4 linked regions of the Saccharomyces cerevisiae S288C genome follow. The protein of the gene in region 4 binds, or shares a complex with, the protein of the main gene of each other region. Each region holds a gene or a part of one and is shown on either strand. Other genes may lie near its edges. A codon is read from its position in the direction of its gene.

Region 1 (3,197 bases), 330 kb from region 4:
CTCCCGTCTCTTCCATAAAAGGCAAATTCTATGTAAAGATTCTAGGCAATTAATGACCTGTTCGCTTGGGTTATTCTTCAAAGCACAAATCAATATCTTTCTTCCTCCTTTTGCTTTAACCGTTGTCCAGTTTCTTGTCAATTTGGTTTGCCATACATAACGAAAAAAAAATGACAGTTATAGAAAATATTACCCGAATTTTCCCGCACTTTTATTGAAGACGTTATATAAAGGGGTACTAACTAATTTAAAAATCATTCATGACTCGCATAGTGGCACAGTAATAGCCTCGACCGCCTGTCCGTATCTTCTTTTATATAGATATATCATGTTTCGTTGTAATGCGGGTTGTGCCCATGCACTGCTGATATGTGTACTGCCTTCCTCCCTATTGCTATAAAGAATCAGTCAGCTCATCAAATATTCTTCTTATCCATAACTCACGCATGCTAGCGATATATTTTGTGAGGAGGATAATTCTTTGGTTGGGTTGGGCGTAGTCATCTGAAGGGGGGCCTTGTATTTATTTTTTTTTCAGTTTTCTTTGCAACAGAATGTCTGCTTTCTGTGGGTTTCCTTTCAGCACGTCCTGAGAACATTGAATTTCTGTTCTTCGTAACGGGCCCATTGACCACTCTTGCAGCACCACTTCCGAGTGATATTCGATTATTTGGATGCAGATCTCCCAAATTAACAACATTGTCGTTTTCGATGGGTAAATCAGCGCCGGAAGCAATGCTATTTCTGATTGTATGTAAGATGGACTTTCTTCTCAGTTTACTGTTGGTATTATTATTCAAACGCGTGGTTTTAGTCACGTGACCTTGAGATGATTTGGACATACCGATATTTGTTGGATTTAGAACAAAAGAAGCTTCACTACTAGTATCGTCTTCATAGTCCTCCTCATTCTCTACTTGTAAGTTGTTGCCTATCTTGGAGGGCTTCCTCTTGTCTCTGTTGTCATATGACCTGTATTTTCTTACTTGTGAGGAGGGAAATAGCGGCTGGTTAAACTGTTTGTTCTGAGATGCCTTGGCCAAATCATTTTCACCTTGTTCGTCTTTTTTTCTTTTAATCCCGCGTTCCATATTGGAGAGTTCCATTACTAAGTTATTTTTCTCATCTTCCAACGATTTCAATTGTTTAATAGCGATCAAATCGTCTTGAATATCATGAGGCGCCTGTGAGAATTCTACGCACCATGAATTGCTCATAATACCGTACAACAACGAACCTAGGGATTCATTAAGATCAGCTAAACTCTCGTGGATAAAATTTAAGCGCGTGAAATTGGAATCTAAAGTAATGATTGAATCGCTCAGTTCTCTTATTTTAGGCAACAGAAGCTGTTGTATGGTATTCTCGTTATATTCGCCAACGGAACTCGTTAATCCCTCTTGATCAGCAAATTTCATCAGGGATGAGGATTCACCCATAGACGACCTTCTTGAAGTCGGAGCGCTACCAATGGATAAACGATATTCCGTGGCAGACCTTGTGGTCCCTAATTTAGCTTTATCTTCGCTCATAGGTGAAAGTGGCAATACAAGCCTTTTCTGATATTGTTTTGGTGCAATTGCTGAGCTTATACGCTCCAAGTTTCAGTGCAATTGGACAAGTTTAACGCCAAAGGATTCATGCGTCGATAAAACATGTTTGTTTTGGCTATTATTTATCGATATTGTCCGGGCAACGCGCAATGTTCATATCTTGAGCGGCACATAAGGTATATGGATAAAAAGGTGTTAGTTATGTACAAGTTTAAATTATGTAAATGTGCCATATCCGAATCATTGTAGTTGCAAAACTAATGTGGAAAACCGTTTAGGCAGTGCTCGTGAAATTACGCGCTTCTTGGATAGAGTTCGATAGTATGGGCAGAGGAGTTTGCCGTTTACATATATTTCCTTGAATGCTTCAGTTTCTCTTTCATTAGTTGGTCTTGGGACACAACGCCCCCTCTTTTCGCCTTCCTAAGAGCCACAATGAGGAAGATTGTGCTCAAAAACGAAAGGCCATACCACGTTACCAAATATTGTAGATGGTTATTCTTTAAATCAATAGTGGGCTTCCGGCCTATGGGAACACCTGCTTTGATAAACTGTCGTTCATCGAATTCAATTGTTTGGTCTGTCGGCATTTCCTGCCTAGAACGAGGCTTCGATGTATTATTATCAACAGCTTGCGTTCCGTTTACAGCAGTCGTAGGTTCTCGTTTCCAGAACTTCCACAGGCTAGAGGTGGAATTGTTTTGTGAAGCCTCGTTTCTTGTGTGTTCCTCGATTATTGGATGGTCCTTCATGTCATACAAGGCTTGAAATTGAATGGGCGTGCACCCTGATGATCTTGCCATGTCATATATGTCTGGCACCTGCCACAATCTAGAATTTGGATCCTTTTTCGCCCATTGTAGCGAGCCTCTTTTCTTTGGAGGTCTTACTAAGCAAACCACTTTCAAGTGTTCTTCTTGAGGCAACGACAAATGGTGTAAATTTCTTGAGTCAGGAGCAACTTTTTCTTCACTTATCCACCCTCTTTCTATCAGAACTTTCTCACCGGTGTCATCTCTAATGAACGGTGTAAACAGAAAATAACCCTTTTCTCCATTTTTCTTTCTTGGACCAACAAACATCTCTTCATTGTGAAGGAAGTGTCCGGTAAGTATAACTTTACGGTATTCCCAATCCTCGCACATGTCAGGTGTAAATGACTTAGGAAGTGGTATTGGTTCATAAGTAAGTTTAGTTTCGCATGCCGCAATCAGCTTGGTTTTCCACTTCAATCTCCTTACTTGCCAAGTTCCCAAATAGAAGGATATTATTGGCATCGCGAACATCAGACCCAGAACAATTTTCTTGCCAAAGGATCTTTCTCTTCGAGAATCATCATTTGGGCTCTTACCTGTCTTGATTGGTTTCCAGTCTACAGTTGACGTTATGATGCCTCGGTACTGTTGATTTCTTGAAGCTAAGAGGTACGTGGATTTGCCAATAGCATTCTTAGTCGGAATTGATGCAGCGATTGAAAACCAACGGTAAGTGGACCTGGCGCCTAGTAGAGACATTGCTTTCCTCTTTTATTAAATCCTGAGTATGGGTTACTGAATGCAAAACGGTTAAGATGGCCCTCTGTTTTCAGTAGTCGGCGTTATAGGTGAAAAATATTTCATCATTGCATAAGAATCCCTTAAATAT
Region 2 (4,420 bases), on a different chromosome or scaffold from region 4:
CAAATCCCAAATCCTTACGCTATTGTCCATCGAGCCTGTTACCAATTTTTCGGAATCAAACTTCAAACTTGTAATTCCATCGGTATGGCCTTCTAGTAATCTCACCGGTTTGCCAACTCTTAGATCCCATAGTCGCACAATGCCATCTTTTGTTCCTGTTGCTAATGCAGAGTTGTAACATTGGAGGGCTCCTATCATTGGTGCTTCTGTGCCAAGTAAACATGCACCATTGTTTAATGAACGTGCAGGCATTTTAATGTCGCTATGTGTAGGTGTGAAGATAAGGTCAAGTTGCTGAATACATTTGCCCGTCGTTAAATCCCAGTGGAATATTTTTTTGTCCCTAGATCCGCTAACCAAAGCTTCAGAATCAAAAGACAGGGCTGTGATTTCGTCTTTATGTAACTCAAAATTATGGATACATGGTGTAACAATTTCTTCTGTCTTCTCCTTCAATGGACTATGGTCCAAATATATTTCTCTACTCAGATTTAAGTCCCATAACTTCAGAGTGGCATCCTTACTTCCAGTAATCAACATATTGTAATTTTTCTTATCTATTTGCATGCAATTAACAGTAGCAAGGTGACCAGGCAGCTCTCCAACTTGTATCCCATGGTTCAAATCCCACACTTTTACTATACGATCTTGGTAGCTTGATGAGCACAAGGTTCCCCATGGTGTATCAAAGTCTAATGCGGTTATGCTGTTTCCATGTTCGCCATGGGGTATTGTCATTCTGAAAGCCGTGGTATTTCGGCTATATGTTTCTGAGATAATTTGCCTGTTTTTATCGTGGCTTTTTTCATGGGGCATCTTGTAAAAATCTTTTAATCTCGTATCCTTACTTTCAACATCACATAACGACGATATGGCTTCTTCATTTTGCGTGAAGGACGACGCTTCAGATGATCTTTCTTCTTCCATTTGCTTCCGTAAGCTCTGTTCACGATCAGCTTCCAAATTGTATTCCTCGATAAAATTTATTCTATCCTTTATCAGTGTTACATCATTCTCAAGATTGGTAGACTTACTATCAATGTGCTTAACCCTTTCCAGGATTTTTAATTTCCTGGATTCTAGTTCGTTGATCATGGAATCTAATCTGGTCAACTCATCCATCTCTAACGTTTTATTGATTGACAGATTTTCCACGTTAGTTTCTACATCCTCAAGTAAATGTGTTAGGTCAATTCTAGAGTACGTTTTATTCACAAAACCAGTATTAATATCCGGCAATTGAACGTATTTTTCCTTATCACTATTCGTGGCCCCGTCTACATTGTCTAACAACAGTCTCTGTTGAATGATGGAAACGGTAGCTTTGAATCCTTCAAATAAAGAAGGTAAATTCTTTTCAGCGGCACCGTTGGGTAGCGGGTATCGCTGCTCATCTAAATGAGCAAGTATTCTGAAAGTTGTTGCAGAGTCTGCATAATTGTTTTGAAAGGAAAATATCCCTACTTGTCCTTTCTGGGTATCTTTTGTACTTTCGGGCCAAGCCACCTCTCTGAACAGTAGAAGTTTGGAAAGATATCTGTAGATGGGGCTCGTTATATATTTTTGAAATTGTTGTTGCGCTAGTATGGCATGTGGTAGCTTATTAAGTATAATTTCGATTGGTTTAGCTACCAGAGAGCTTTCTCCTCTAGTATCGCCCGAACCCATATAGAGATACTCTTTTTTACTCTCGCTCGTGGTAATCTTATATGTCATTCATGGTTAGTTTTTTTTTTATGACTATTTTTTTTTTCCATTACGATGAGGAAAGTTTATGTGAGAAACATGAAGCTACATGCTTTAACAGGAGACAGACCCATGGTGGATCCGCTCAGTTGGTTTTATACATTTAGATGTAAGGTAATACATAATTATATGATTTGCAGTGGCCTATGTATGCAATTAGGACAAAGGAAATATCTATTCTTGAGGAGAAGTGCTCCCCTACTCTTGCAAGTTGGCTATCTCCATTTCTAGCCGCCTAATTTCATCTTTTTCTTTTCGAATAATCTTAGCAACGTCGTGAGAAGAAGAAGGATGGTACTGTGACATAGTCTTTAAGCGATCATCTTGAAGCAAAACTTCTTTCTTGATGAAGCGCAATTTGGAAGAAAGTTGTTCATAATTATGGTACAATTGGTCGTAATCCTGCTTGAACTCTGTTAGTGGCCATAAATCTGTTACTTCGGCCATAACTTTAAGAATTAAATCAGTAGGGAAATCCTCGACAAAGATGGTTTTTCTTCTTTGGTTATTGGATTCTTCTTCCATGAGCACGCTTCCATTTTCCAAGGCATATAGGAGCCTTTGAATTTGCGGATCATCCTTGAACACGGCTGATAATGCTTTGAATGTACCTGAACTTGAATTTGAAATGACAGAGGATCCTATAAGATCGGTATCAAAAATAAAACCGTTCAAGCCACCGCCACTTGTAGTGGCGGTTCTTCTCCTTTTATTGTTCAAATCAAGACGATCTTTGTTCAAATATACTTCCTTGGGCACATGGATGATCGGTTTTTCCCCTGGTCTGCCCAGCCTTCTATTTCTTTTCATGTCCGTATCTCGTTTAATAACATAGTCGAATACTCCCTCCTTGCCGTCTCTACGTGAAACGGATTGTTTCTCAGGGTTGACTTTGAACAGAAGATACGCCTCGTCGTGGTTACAGTCCTTTATTAGTCTAGTAATGTCTTTTCTAATGCTTGCCTTGTTGCTTGCTCCCTGTAGGATGGCATTATGAAAAATTCCTGGTGGCTTGAAATAGAGTGTGGACATAGAGTCCACCGCCCTATTAATATCATCTATACATCTATCCAAGCTTTCCCCCATTCTGTAATTGCCACGTCTTATTTTGTTAGGTGATGATCTAATTTTTTTGAGCTTTGTTTATTGATTATTTTCAAATGTCTCTTGCTTATTTTCGCGCTTCCACAAGGTTATACACTGAGCTGTAAATGTAAGGTGTATGGCATATATAAATATATATATATATTCGTAGTGTGAACATTAGGCTAACTGTAACAAAAATCGTTAATCACGCCAGGCTGCGTATACTTCATCGGTTCTGAATTTCTGCGTAACAACAGTTTCAGAAAAGTCCTTCACGATCCCACCCATTCTATACTCTAGTAGTCCTGCTTGGGCAATCATAACTCCGTTATCGATACAAAACCTATTATCTGTAGCATGTACTTGCCCATTGGCCCTGTCTTTACACATTTGCGCCATCATTTCTTGTAATCGCACGTTACAACCAACACCGCCTACGATCAAAACTTGATTGGAGTTAACGTGAGCCATAGCTCTTTCTGTTATTTCAACTAGCATGGCGAATAGGTTCTCTTGCAGAGAGTAGCAAAGATCCTCTACAGTGACTTTTTGCTCGCCCGTTGTCTTGTCGAATAGGATCTTATTTTTCTTATTGCCCTTAAATAGATCCTTGGCAAGTAAATCGATGGAAGCCAATATACCACTCATCGAAAGATCCATCCCCTTTACTGTATAGGGAAGTTCTACCAAGTTTTCTTTGTGAGGGGCTTTTTTAGCTAACTGCTCGATGTTGTAGCCAGGCGAGGGCTCATTAGGTATCTTCAGAGTTCTTGCAAATCTATCAAGACAATTACCGATAGCAATATCAAGCGTTTCACCAAAGATACGGTACCTTTTTTCCGAGTATGCAATAACTTGTGTATTTCCACCACTTACATACAGTACCACAGGATTTTGAGCTTTAGTGATTTCTCTCCCCATTTCGATGTGACCAATGCAGTGGTTTACTCCCACCAGTGGCACGTCCCACAGTAAGGAGCACGTTCTGGCGGCGATGACAACTGAATGCAGAGGGGCCCCCATGCCGGGACCTTTGGTAAAGCAAATTACATCAATGTCTAGTGTCGGGCTTTTGATGTCAGCTTCGGCCAGTGCTTGTTTTATGAGTCTTATGCACCAATTTCTGTGATGCCTTGCCGTGTCTCGAGGCAAAAATCCCTCCCCAGGAGGTGTGACATATGTGTCTCTAATATTAGAAAGCATCTCAGCTTCGCAATCATAAGATAGATCGCTGTTGGCATGTTTAGGCAGAAGCGGATGCTTAACTATACCAACGCCCAGTTTATTTGCAGAACCTTCAAGTCCAAGCGCAATGTAGTAGTCCCTGCCATTTTTGGGTGGGATAGTGTTCAAGTTGACCATTTTGCTCCCGACTGCATTAGGGAACGCTTGGGAATTCCCTTCACGTAAAAGATAAATATATGCATCGTTGCACGAAGTAAAAATGGTTACTCTCGAACTCATCATAATGAAAGAATTCAGTTTTTCCGTATAAAGCGATATTACAGGAGGAATAAAAAGCAAAATAAAAAATCTCCGCGACGGGGAATTGAACCCCGATCTGGCACGCGACAAGCGCCCATTCTGA
Region 3 (4,497 bases), on a different chromosome or scaffold from region 4:
CTTTGCATAGAACTACGAAATCTAATTAAGGTGACTAAAAAACCTTGGTGCGAGATTGATAGTAAAACTGGCAGGTCATTTTGCGACCAAATAAGAAATCAAGTGACAAATGAAAGAAACAAAACTTTATCTAAGATCCTCTCAGAAAACGGTGTACAAGTCCAGGATTCCACATTACTTAACCACATAATTTCTTCTTTTCAAAGTGAAGCTATAACACTTCCAGAAGCTCAGGAATTATTAAGAAGGGGCGTTACTTTCGATAATAGGGTAGTCATGGAATGTGAAAAGTTAATAGTATCTACAAGTGATCCAACTTTGATCAGTATAAGCGCCAAATTGAACAGTCTCAAAGCTTCGATGGCGAACCATCAAGCAAATTTGGTAGCTAGCAAACAGTTAAGTACATATAAGTAATCTACTAGCGATAACATTAACAATAATTTATAATACAAACTGGATAAAGAGATAAATGGATGCTTTAAAAAATAAACTTCTAACTATTTCTGTTTGAGTATTTCCAACTTATTCTCCAGTTGCTTCTTCTTTTCCTTTAGTTTCTTCAATTCTTCCAATTCCTCATTAGTAGAAGATGCCATCATAACCACGTCGTCCGCGTCTCTGCCTTCGTATTCTTGACCCATGTCTGGACTATTCAGAGCATCATCGTCATCCATACTAATGTTCTTCTTTAGCCTTAAATCGTTTAATTCATAAGTTTGCTGCAAAGTATCGAGTTCCCTTTGCATTCTACCCATAGATTTACGTAACTTATCGCCCAGAGTCCTAACCAGCGGTTCTACCTCTTCAATCAAATCTAATTTTGATCTTTCAACATCATATTCGGGAACTAAACGGAAAACCCTTTTGGTTTGCAACATTGTCGATGCAAGGTTCGTGCTTGGCTCATTTGCACATTTTAAAGACTCCACAGAATCCTTCAATACTGAAACTGTTCCCTCCAACGCAAGGACGCTCTGTTCCAAAGCATCTGTCATGGTTATTTTGCCTATCCTTCAATTCGTACACAGATATATGCGTCTGTGATCTGTTTATTATTCATTTTCATTGTTGCTAACTACTACGCCCTGTGAAAACAAACTTTATAATCGCCAATAATAAATACATAATGAAAGTAAATCGCAATCCGGACCCCACGGATAGTCACCAGTCTCACCAACTGGAAATTAGAAGGAAGGAAGACAACTGTAAATTCTTGGCATGGTAGAACTGGAAAAAAGAAGACGGCCCCCTCCGCAACTGCAACATTCTCCCTATGTTAGGGATCAATCGAATTCGCAGGGAATGACAAAGACGCCAGAAACGTCACCGCCTAAGAGGCCCATGGGAAGAGCTAGATCAAACTCGAGAAGCAGTGGATCCCGTTCAAATGTCGATATAGATCAGTATACCATACCACCAGGCTTAGATTTGTTGCCTACCGCTTCATCTCCACCTTCCGTCCATCAAGTTTCACAACAGCAACAATTATCCCCAATATTAGCCAACAAAATCCGTTCTCCATTTGAAAATCAAAGTCAGGATCAAAATGACAATTCAATAGACCCAACACCGGCTGGACAAGTAACAATTCCTGTAGAAGCCGTATCTCCACCGGCACTGGACGAATTATCGAAATTCCAAAATGGTTCAACTGAGACATTATTTAGAACTGGATCACCCCGTAAGAAGCATACACATATTATTATACTCAAATCCTTAAATGCAACTTTTGAGACCAAGTTTCTTGTTGTACCATTTAAACCTGACGGACTTAAATTAGGTCGACCAGTTACCAATAGCGTAAACAAGAATAATTCAGGATCGAAAAGAGATTTATTTTCGCAACAAGTTAGACCAGATAACGGAAATTTTGACTCAAGAGTTCTTTCCAGAAATCACGCTTGTCTCAGTTGTGATCCTACATCAGGAAAGATATATATTCGCGATCTAAAGTCCAGCAATGGGACATTTGTTAATGGGGTTAAAATACGCCAAAATGATGTAGAATTAAAAGTTGGTGATACTGTGGATTTGGGAACTGATATTGACTCAAAGTTTGAACATAGAAAAATCAGTGCGTATGTGGAAGAGATTTCAGTAATTCCCTTAATGAACACTGTATCTGATCCCACAAATTTGGTGATGAAAAAACAAGATCATACTAATAAGAATAATGGGAACTCCACTAATATAAACGGAATAAAGATAGACAGAGGTCATCATAATCAACACATTCCAATACGATCTCATTTAAAGGAAAATTATACCGAAGCTGGTGTAACATCTGCAACAACGGCTCAAAGGGCAGCCTTTGAGGCAGCTATGTTTGGAGATATTAATAACTCAGAATTAGATGATGATATTTTAGGTCCAGAAACTGAGGTTCTCAGTGGAATTTTTATCAACAATTCAGCAGGTACAAGCATAAATTTGATAAATATGATAAAAACTTTGACTACTGAGCTGTCCTTAGAAAAACAAGAGCTGGAAAAATTACATTCCATGCAAAACTTTATGCAAAACTATACGATAAACCTTGATTTCATCAATAAGCACATGATTGATATGAATGAAAAGCATTTACTGAAACTGAGCACGGCTTTACAAAAAACTCTATCAGAAAATAATGATGCGCTACTCAAAGAATCGGAAGATCAATTAAAAGAAATCAAACAACAAAATAATAAAGTAAAATCTGCATGTAGCTTGAAGGAAAAACAAAACCATGAAAAGCTACAGGAGCTCGAAAGTGAATTAAGAGAGCTGAACCTTCAAATAGAAGAAGAGAGGGGAAAAAATTTAGTTTTAACACAAAGCAATTTTAATGGTGGTATTAACAATGACAATAACGCTAAAGTAAAACAAAATGATTCAAGAGAAGAAAAAAAGGATACCGAAGATACATTAATAAGCACTGAAGAACTAGGAGTCGTCGAAGGCAAGAGAACAAGAGTTAGTAAGGGAATGCTCTTTGGAGTAGTTGCCATTTCATTCGGTTTAGTTGCGACGGCCGTTAAGCAATTGCCACAATAACTCGAAAGAAGAAAAATACTACAAGCATAATCTACAAAGCAAAAACAGGGCTTGTCCTGTAGAAATGAGAAAAACCATATATTATAAATAAGCACATATTCCATATACTTTGAATATTGTTTTGCAATTCTGATCCACACTCTTTTTTTTCATTTTTTCAAGATTTCTTGATTAAGTAAAATTAAAAAAAAATTCGGGAACTCAAGCTAAAACTGGATGCGTCTACTCATCACCTATAGTCTCAAGATTGTCGAAGATACAGATTTTGAATAAATATCTACAAAAAAGTTACATAGTAAATTGCGAATGGAAGGAAAGGTTGATGTCTTGCTAACATGGCTGAAAAAATCAGATAAGTTTTATATAGCACCAAACATCAGCATCTGTGAATCGCCAGAAACTGGCAGAGGGATCGTCCTCAGTCACGGTTCGATAAGAAAAAACGATATCATTGTATCAGTACCGAGCTCGAAGCAACTAAATTTTCACACTATCCTCTATCATATTTCAAAGTTTAATAAAGAGCTGAATATTCCTGGTATCACAATCGATAGAAAGCCAATCAATTATGAGGACAATATTATTGAAGCGGAAAATAAAGCCTGGGCCGATCCTAGATATGGATTATATTCCGAATTATCGAAAGAGTTTTTGTTAAGTTTATCATCATTTCAATTGGTATCATTTTATATATTGGTTGAAAATTTTCTATTGCCAAAATGGACTCACAATGAAATCTACTCAGATTGGAAACCATTCTTTGATGTATGGCCCTCAATGGAGGAGCTGCGATCAATCCCAGCCATTTGGAACTGTGATCCCAATTCACGTTACCATTCACTGATTGAATATCTCCCTGCTGCCTCACGAAAGCATATGGCAAGAATTAGTGGCCTTGTCAGAGAAGATTGGGAAACCATTTCAGAGGTGGTTTTGAAATGGAATGAAATTTACGGCTCCTTAAGCTGTACGAAAAATTCTGATAAATTTACTAGTGATGAGTTATTCTCCCTTTTTGTACATGTTTATTTTATTATAAACTCAAGATGTCTTTATGCGAAGATTCCGTTGAAAATAGAGGACTCCCCAAGCAATTTCACTTTAGTGCCGTATGTCGATTTCATGAACCACATTTGTGAGTCGGATTTGCACTGCTATCCTCAGTTAAGTCCTCAGTTGAGGTCAGAAGGAGAAAACATCATTGGAATTGGACAATTTACCATTAGATGCGGCGATCACCTCTATGACAACATTAACGAGGAGCTCTTTTTGAATTATGGTGCACACTCAAATGATTTTTTACTGAACGAGTATGGATTTGTGGTAGACGGAAACAAATGGAACTACTTAGACATATCTGACGAAATTATTGAACTAATAGACGACGACAAAAAGGAGGTAAAAACGTTTCTATTGGAACATGATTATTGGGGAGATTACACTATCAATGAGACTGATATC
Region 4 (4,636 bases):
TAGATGTCCTGAGAAAGTGCCGGTATCTTATGCAATTAATTTGATACTTAGACATAATTACAGAACTATTTATCCATTGACCAATCTCTCACGATCTTCATCTTTTACGTACTTTCTGGGTTCCAATGCAAGTATCCCATCCCTTCCCTTTTTATTCCTTGACGATCGGGCGATGAAATCTGAAAAAAATGAAAGTTTGGATGACTCAAAACATAGTGTTTCCCTTTAATAGAATAATTCGATTTACTCGGGAACAAAAGAGAAGAGCAACTAATTTACTATGTAGTTTACGAGCGTATGTTCATCTCTTCTATATATTCTCCCAGAGTATTATTGGAAATGTTGATGAATGCTAATTCAGGCTCACCTTCTCCTTGAAATGATTCGGAGATTTCTTTATTGATGAGTGTTAACAGACCCAAATCCCATTTGTTCCTTAAACTAACAAAAAATTTCATATATGTTAGTACCAAGAGTAAATCACCTTGCGTTCTTTTCTTTTGCTTGGCGGCAGAAAAACATATTAAAGCAATGCTATGAATGGAAGCCATGCGATCTTCATTAATAGTGATGTAAGGTCTTGGAGGTAGAGTTGGCATTATCGGTACACTATTAGCGGTATTCCCAGGATTCTGTTGTTCGATTAAACCGACAGTTTCGTCACGATTAGCAGCCTCAGGAGATCTAATCATCATATCTCTTAGAATGTCAAGAACAGCAATCTTTGCAGTTATATATGGACAATGTAGTAGAGTTTCAAAGATGAACGTAAAAGATGTGCTTTCGGGCATGAGATAGAGTAACCTCCTCAGAAGAGTAATTTCGGTCAACTTAGTGTCGTTATTAGATTCATTGCAAGTTTTCATCAGTAACATCTGCAAAAAGGCCGTGGTAATGTGCCCTGGAAGTTCTTGTAAGGCACACTTTATTTTCTCTGTGGAAGTCTCGGTTGTGGATACCCATAGCCAGTAGCGTACTGAACTTTCCAAAAACTTATTTTCGTATATTTCTGAAAATAAAGAAGCTGTCGTACACCGTAGATAGAGGTAAATTGCGCTTTGGATATCAATTTGCGGCAATAAGTGAGTACCATTTTTAGAATAATGTATTGCAGATAGAATCACAACTCCATATTGGTCCAGCTCTAAGTTCTTTTCGTCAGCTAGTTTCTTGATTTGATATGCGTAAGATACCTCATATACTAGTTGGTTAATTTCTTCTTTGAATTCGGGCGTGGAAGCGGCCGGGTTCATGAGAAGAGAGTTATAGATGCTTCTTGATTCTACCAGGCACTTTTCTAAAAGTTCTTTCATGTGGACATCCAATGATGTGACATACTCGTAGTATTGGTGGCATATCTGTAAAACTGAAGCATCGATTTCATTTTCATCTGTTTTTTTATGCATCAATGTTTTGAAATATATCTTGTCAATATTACCTGGATGATTTTTTAGGCAGTTGCTAATCACGAATACGCTCAGATTAGCCAGTAGTTTTTTCTGTAAGGCAGATTCATCATCATGAATTTTTTCAAGATCGTTTGTACTAATACCATCGGTCAGACTAGCAGATGGTTGAGCTGGAGAGTAATTAGTACAAAAATTGTACACTATGCGCAAAATAAAGTGTGGATCATCCATAGCCTGAACGTTGGTTGTTACATACTTAATAATTGCAGAAGTTACCATGGCTAGAAATTTAGATGGATATAAAGTGTCCACACGTTTCAACAATAAACTCATAAATTCAAAGAGAACGTAAATTTTCAAATTTGGAATGAATTCTACTGTATTTTTGGCCATATAGTGCCCAATCTCCGGAGTGATAACTGACAGCTCATCAGTAATGTTTGACGCATCATTTCTATTGGAGTCATTTAAATCTTCATTCTCTTCATCGGAGTCGCCAGTTTCAGTTAAGACTATATGGAGTGTTGACACCAATTCGCAAGCGGTCAACAAGCATTCTTTCGGATTTCCATTGATGGCTAGCTCATTGAAGCATTCCATCACACTAGAAACAAGGGGACTAAAAACTAGATGTATATTGACATTGATGTTTTTGCGTGAGAAAAACTGCAATAAACCCTTTGGCAGATCCCAGCCAATTTCCTTTAAGGTAACTGGATTATCCTTAAGTATTTTCAATAGGGCATCCAAATAACGTTCCTTTTCTTTTATAGACTTTCCAGAGTTCACCTGCTCGTTGTACATATCAATGATTGTTACAAGTGAGACAAAATCATCCTTCTCCTCTTGGAAAGCCCTGACAAGGCTTTTACAAATTGTTTCAATTGACTCACCCATACTTTCTGAGCCCTTCCTCTTGACGGTGAGTTCTTTTAGCCTTTTAGACCCAGGATAATATGTATTTTCCTTTATTCTTAGATGAGAGGTTTTTGGACCTCAGCGCAAGTTAGTTTCACAGCGAAACGAAGGAAAAAAGAATAATAATTACAAACAAACGCCAAAATCAAACGCGATAAAGAAAGATAGGCTAAGTAATCTGGACTGGTGACTCAAGTATTACTAAAGAAGATAATTTGAAACTTGAACAAGTCTTCAATATGAGTGAGCAAAGCCAATTAGATGATTCGACTATAGACAAACTGATTCCACAGATTTTCAATGAGATGAGATCTAACCTCAATAACACGACCAATAAATTTCCAAAAAGCACAGGAGGTGGAGCAAGCGATAATATTTCGGCTAACAGCAATTCTATAAGATCGTTTAATTCAATCACAACGCAATCCTTACTCAAAGAATCAGAATCGTTAGATAAAATAACAGCAATGATAAAAAATGTTACGGCCGCATTAAAAAATAACTTGCCAGTATACGTTAATCAAGTACATGAGGTATGTAAATCTACGAATTCCATTTTAGATTCATGGATCAACATTCATTCTCAAGCTGGTTATATTCATAAATTGATGAGCGATCAAACCTATTTAAAGCTAATTAATGATAGACTGCACAATGAAAATGTAAACACAAATGATGAAGATGGGAGTACTTTACACAACGTGATAGCGTTGAAAAAGAAGGAGATCTTGGATTTGAGACAAAAATTAGAAAATAGGAAGGGTGAAAAGGATGCTGCACCAGCAAAGCCACCAAATCAAGGCTTAAATCCAAGGTACGGTGTGCAATCTGGTAGAAGGCCCGTTCCTTCGGCAGGAATTTCAAATAACGGAAGAGTAAGAAAGACCCATGTTCCTGCCTCGAAAAGACCTAGTGGTATACCAAGAGTAACTAACAGGTGGACTAAGCCCACTGCTAGCAGCTCAAGGAAGATGTTTCGCTAAAAGATGCTTTCGGGAATGTATCTAGGATTTATTGTATATGGAATTTAAATCGAAATAGTAGATAAATTAATGATGAAAAAAGGACACGTTAATTGGATGCGTTAAATTATTATTTTTTTTTTTATTTAACTTTTGTTCCTAATTATGTATTAGTATTTACTGGTCGTCAAAAAATAGGAAAGGTAAATAAATAAGATTCGGGTATATTATACATTATAAATGAGAACTAACCGGTTCATGCCTTAGTTTCAACAGGAACTTGGTCTTCTAATAGAACTAATAAATCAGAAGAGTCCACATTTTCACCATCAGAGACAAACACTTCTTTAACTTGTCCATCGGATGGAGAAGATATAATCATTTCCATTTTCATGGCGCTTAATACGGCTACAGGTTGGCCCTTCTTTATTAGTGATCCTTTATGAACTTTAACTTCAACAATGACACCTGCCATTGGTGCACCAATGTGTAATGGATCATGCATGTCTGCTTTGGATTTAGTAACAGTTTCCACTTTTTGTGATCTGTCAGCAACACGAATTTTTCTCATTTCACCATTCAAATCAAAGTAAACTTCTCTTTCACCGGTCTTTTTGTTCAAATCACCCACAGCCTGTAGCTTGATAATTAGCGTTTTACCTTGTTCGATTACAACTTCAATTTCTTCGTCAGTCTCTAGTGGAGACAAAAAGCTTCTTGTTGGCAATACAGATAAATCACCATACGTTTCTCTCATCTTTTGGAAGTCTTCATAAACTCTTGGGTACATGTTATAAGAAGCAACGTCGCACTCATCAACATCACCAAATCTATTCTGCAAGTCTTCTCTAATTTTTTCGAGATCAAATGGCTCTAGTTCCAGGCCTGGACGACAAGTCAACTTTCTTCTCTTGTTCCTTAAAACGTCTGATCTAAATGGTTCTGGGAACCCACCATATGGTTGGCCGATTAAGCCTTCGAAGAAATCCATAACAGAGTCAGGGAAATCCAAAGAATTAGCCAGGCGTCTCACATCATCGGAAGTTAATTTATTGGAGACCATAAATTGTGCCAGATCACCAACGACCTTCGAAGTTGGGGTAACTTTGACAATATCACCCAATAAATAATTGGCTTCTCTGTAAGCTCTTTTTGTTTCGGCCCATTGTTCTCCAAGACCCAATTGTTGGGCTTGAAACAACAAGTTTGTCAATTGACCACCTGGGATTTCATGTTGATAAACTTCTGGATCTGGGCCCTTCAAGTCAGCCTCGAAACAAGAGTATAACAATCTCATCTCTGCCCAATATGCATCTAGTTCACGGACATGCTCAACGTTAATACCAG

What was found.
Region 1: the proteins of DUO1 (region 4) and DAM1 are in contact, whole or in part, in a cryo-EM structure (PDB 8Q84), measured with the Saccharomyces cerevisiae proteins. Residues at the interface, in NP_011454.1 of Saccharomyces cerevisiae: Glu67 (codon at 2,765), Ile74 (codon at 2,786), Leu89 (codon at 2,831), Tyr92 (codon at 2,840), Val93 (codon at 2,843), Gln95 (codon at 2,849), Val96 (codon at 2,852), Val99 (codon at 2,861), Cys100 (codon at 2,864), Ser102 (codon at 2,870), Thr103 (codon at 2,873), Ile106 (codon at 2,882), Leu107 (codon at 2,885), Ser109 (codon at 2,891), Trp110 (codon at 2,894), Ile113 (codon at 2,903), Tyr119 (codon at 2,921), Lys122 (codon at 2,930), Leu123 (codon at 2,933), Asp126 (codon at 2,942), Tyr129 (codon at 2,951), Ile133 (codon at 2,963), Arg136 (codon at 2,972), Leu137 (codon at 2,975), Leu152 (codon at 3,020), Ile156 (codon at 3,032), Lys159 (codon at 3,041), Glu162 (codon at 3,050), Ile163 (codon at 3,053), Leu166 (codon at 3,062); in NP_011628.4 of Saccharomyces cerevisiae: Ile59 (codon at 1,358), Gln60 (codon at 1,355), Leu63 (codon at 1,346), Ile67 (codon at 1,334), Phe81 (codon at 1,292), His88 (codon at 1,271), Leu91 (codon at 1,262), Ala92 (codon at 1,259), Asn95 (codon at 1,250), Leu98 (codon at 1,241), Leu101 (codon at 1,232), Leu102 (codon at 1,229), Gln116 (codon at 1,187), Pro118 (codon at 1,181), Ile121 (codon at 1,172), Asp123 (codon at 1,166), Asp124 (codon at 1,163), Leu125 (codon at 1,160), Ala127 (codon at 1,154), Ile128 (codon at 1,151), Gln130 (codon at 1,145), Leu131 (codon at 1,142), Leu134 (codon at 1,133), Glu135 (codon at 1,130), Glu137 (codon at 1,124), Lys138 (codon at 1,121), Leu141 (codon at 1,112), Leu145 (codon at 1,100).
Region 2: DUO1 (region 4) and SPC34 share a complex: the UniProt entries of both Saccharomyces cerevisiae proteins name them as parts of the DASH complex.
Region 3: DUO1 (region 4) and SPC19 share a complex: the UniProt entries of both Saccharomyces cerevisiae proteins name them as parts of the DASH complex.

Annotation. Positions count from the first base shown.
Region 1 is NC_001139.9:717,228-720,424, reverse strand, and holds DAM1 (Dam1p), read right to left. Parts: upstream 1,533-3,197; coding exon 501-1,532; downstream 1-500. Other genes in the region: chromatin-remodeling histone chaperone SPT6, read right to left, coding at 1-16; cytochrome oxidase assembly protein SHY1, read right to left, coding at 1,898-3,067. UniProt on the Saccharomyces cerevisiae protein: Component of the DASH complex that connects microtubules with kinetochores and couples microtubule depolymerisation to chromosome movement; it is involved in retrieving kinetochores to the spindle poles before their re-orientation on the spindle in early mitosis and allows microtubule depolymerization to pull chromosomes apart and resist detachment during anaphase.
Region 2 is NC_001143.9:508,966-513,385, forward strand, and holds SPC34 (Spc34p), read right to left. Parts: upstream 2,833-4,420; coding exon 1,945-2,832; downstream 1-1,944. Other genes in the region: CAF4 (Caf4p), read right to left, coding at 1-1,668; KAE1 (tRNA N6-adenosine threonylcarbamoyltransferase), read right to left, coding at 3,034-4,194. UniProt on the Saccharomyces cerevisiae protein: Component of the DASH complex that connects microtubules with kinetochores and couples microtubule depolymerisation to chromosome movement; it is involved in retrieving kinetochores to the spindle poles before their re-orientation on the spindle in early mitosis and allows microtubule depolymerization to pull chromosomes apart and resist detachment during anaphase.
Region 3 is NC_001136.10:852,818-857,314, reverse strand, and holds SPC19 (Spc19p), read right to left. Parts: upstream 999-4,497; coding exon 501-998; downstream 1-500. Other genes in the region: RAV2 (Rav2p), read left to right, coding at 1-417; VPS64 (Vps64p), read left to right, coding at 1,222-3,036; RKM2 (protein-lysine N-methyltransferase), read left to right, coding at 3,343-4,497. UniProt on the Saccharomyces cerevisiae protein: Component of the DASH complex that connects microtubules with kinetochores and couples microtubule depolymerisation to chromosome movement; it is involved in retrieving kinetochores to the spindle poles before their re-orientation on the spindle in early mitosis and allows microtubule depolymerization to pull chromosomes apart and resist detachment during anaphase.
Region 4 is NC_001139.9:387,642-392,277, reverse strand, and holds DUO1 (Duo1p), read left to right. Parts: upstream 1-2,566; coding exon 2,567-3,310; downstream 3,311-4,636. Other genes in the region: protein kinase PKP2, read right to left, coding at 1-55; YBP2 (Ybp2p), read right to left, coding at 288-2,213; PYC1 (pyruvate carboxylase 1), read right to left, coding at 3,546-4,636. UniProt on the Saccharomyces cerevisiae protein: Component of the DASH complex that connects microtubules with kinetochores and couples microtubule depolymerisation to chromosome movement; it is involved in retrieving kinetochores to the spindle poles before their re-orientation on the spindle in early mitosis and allows microtubule depolymerization to pull chromosomes apart and resist detachment during anaphase.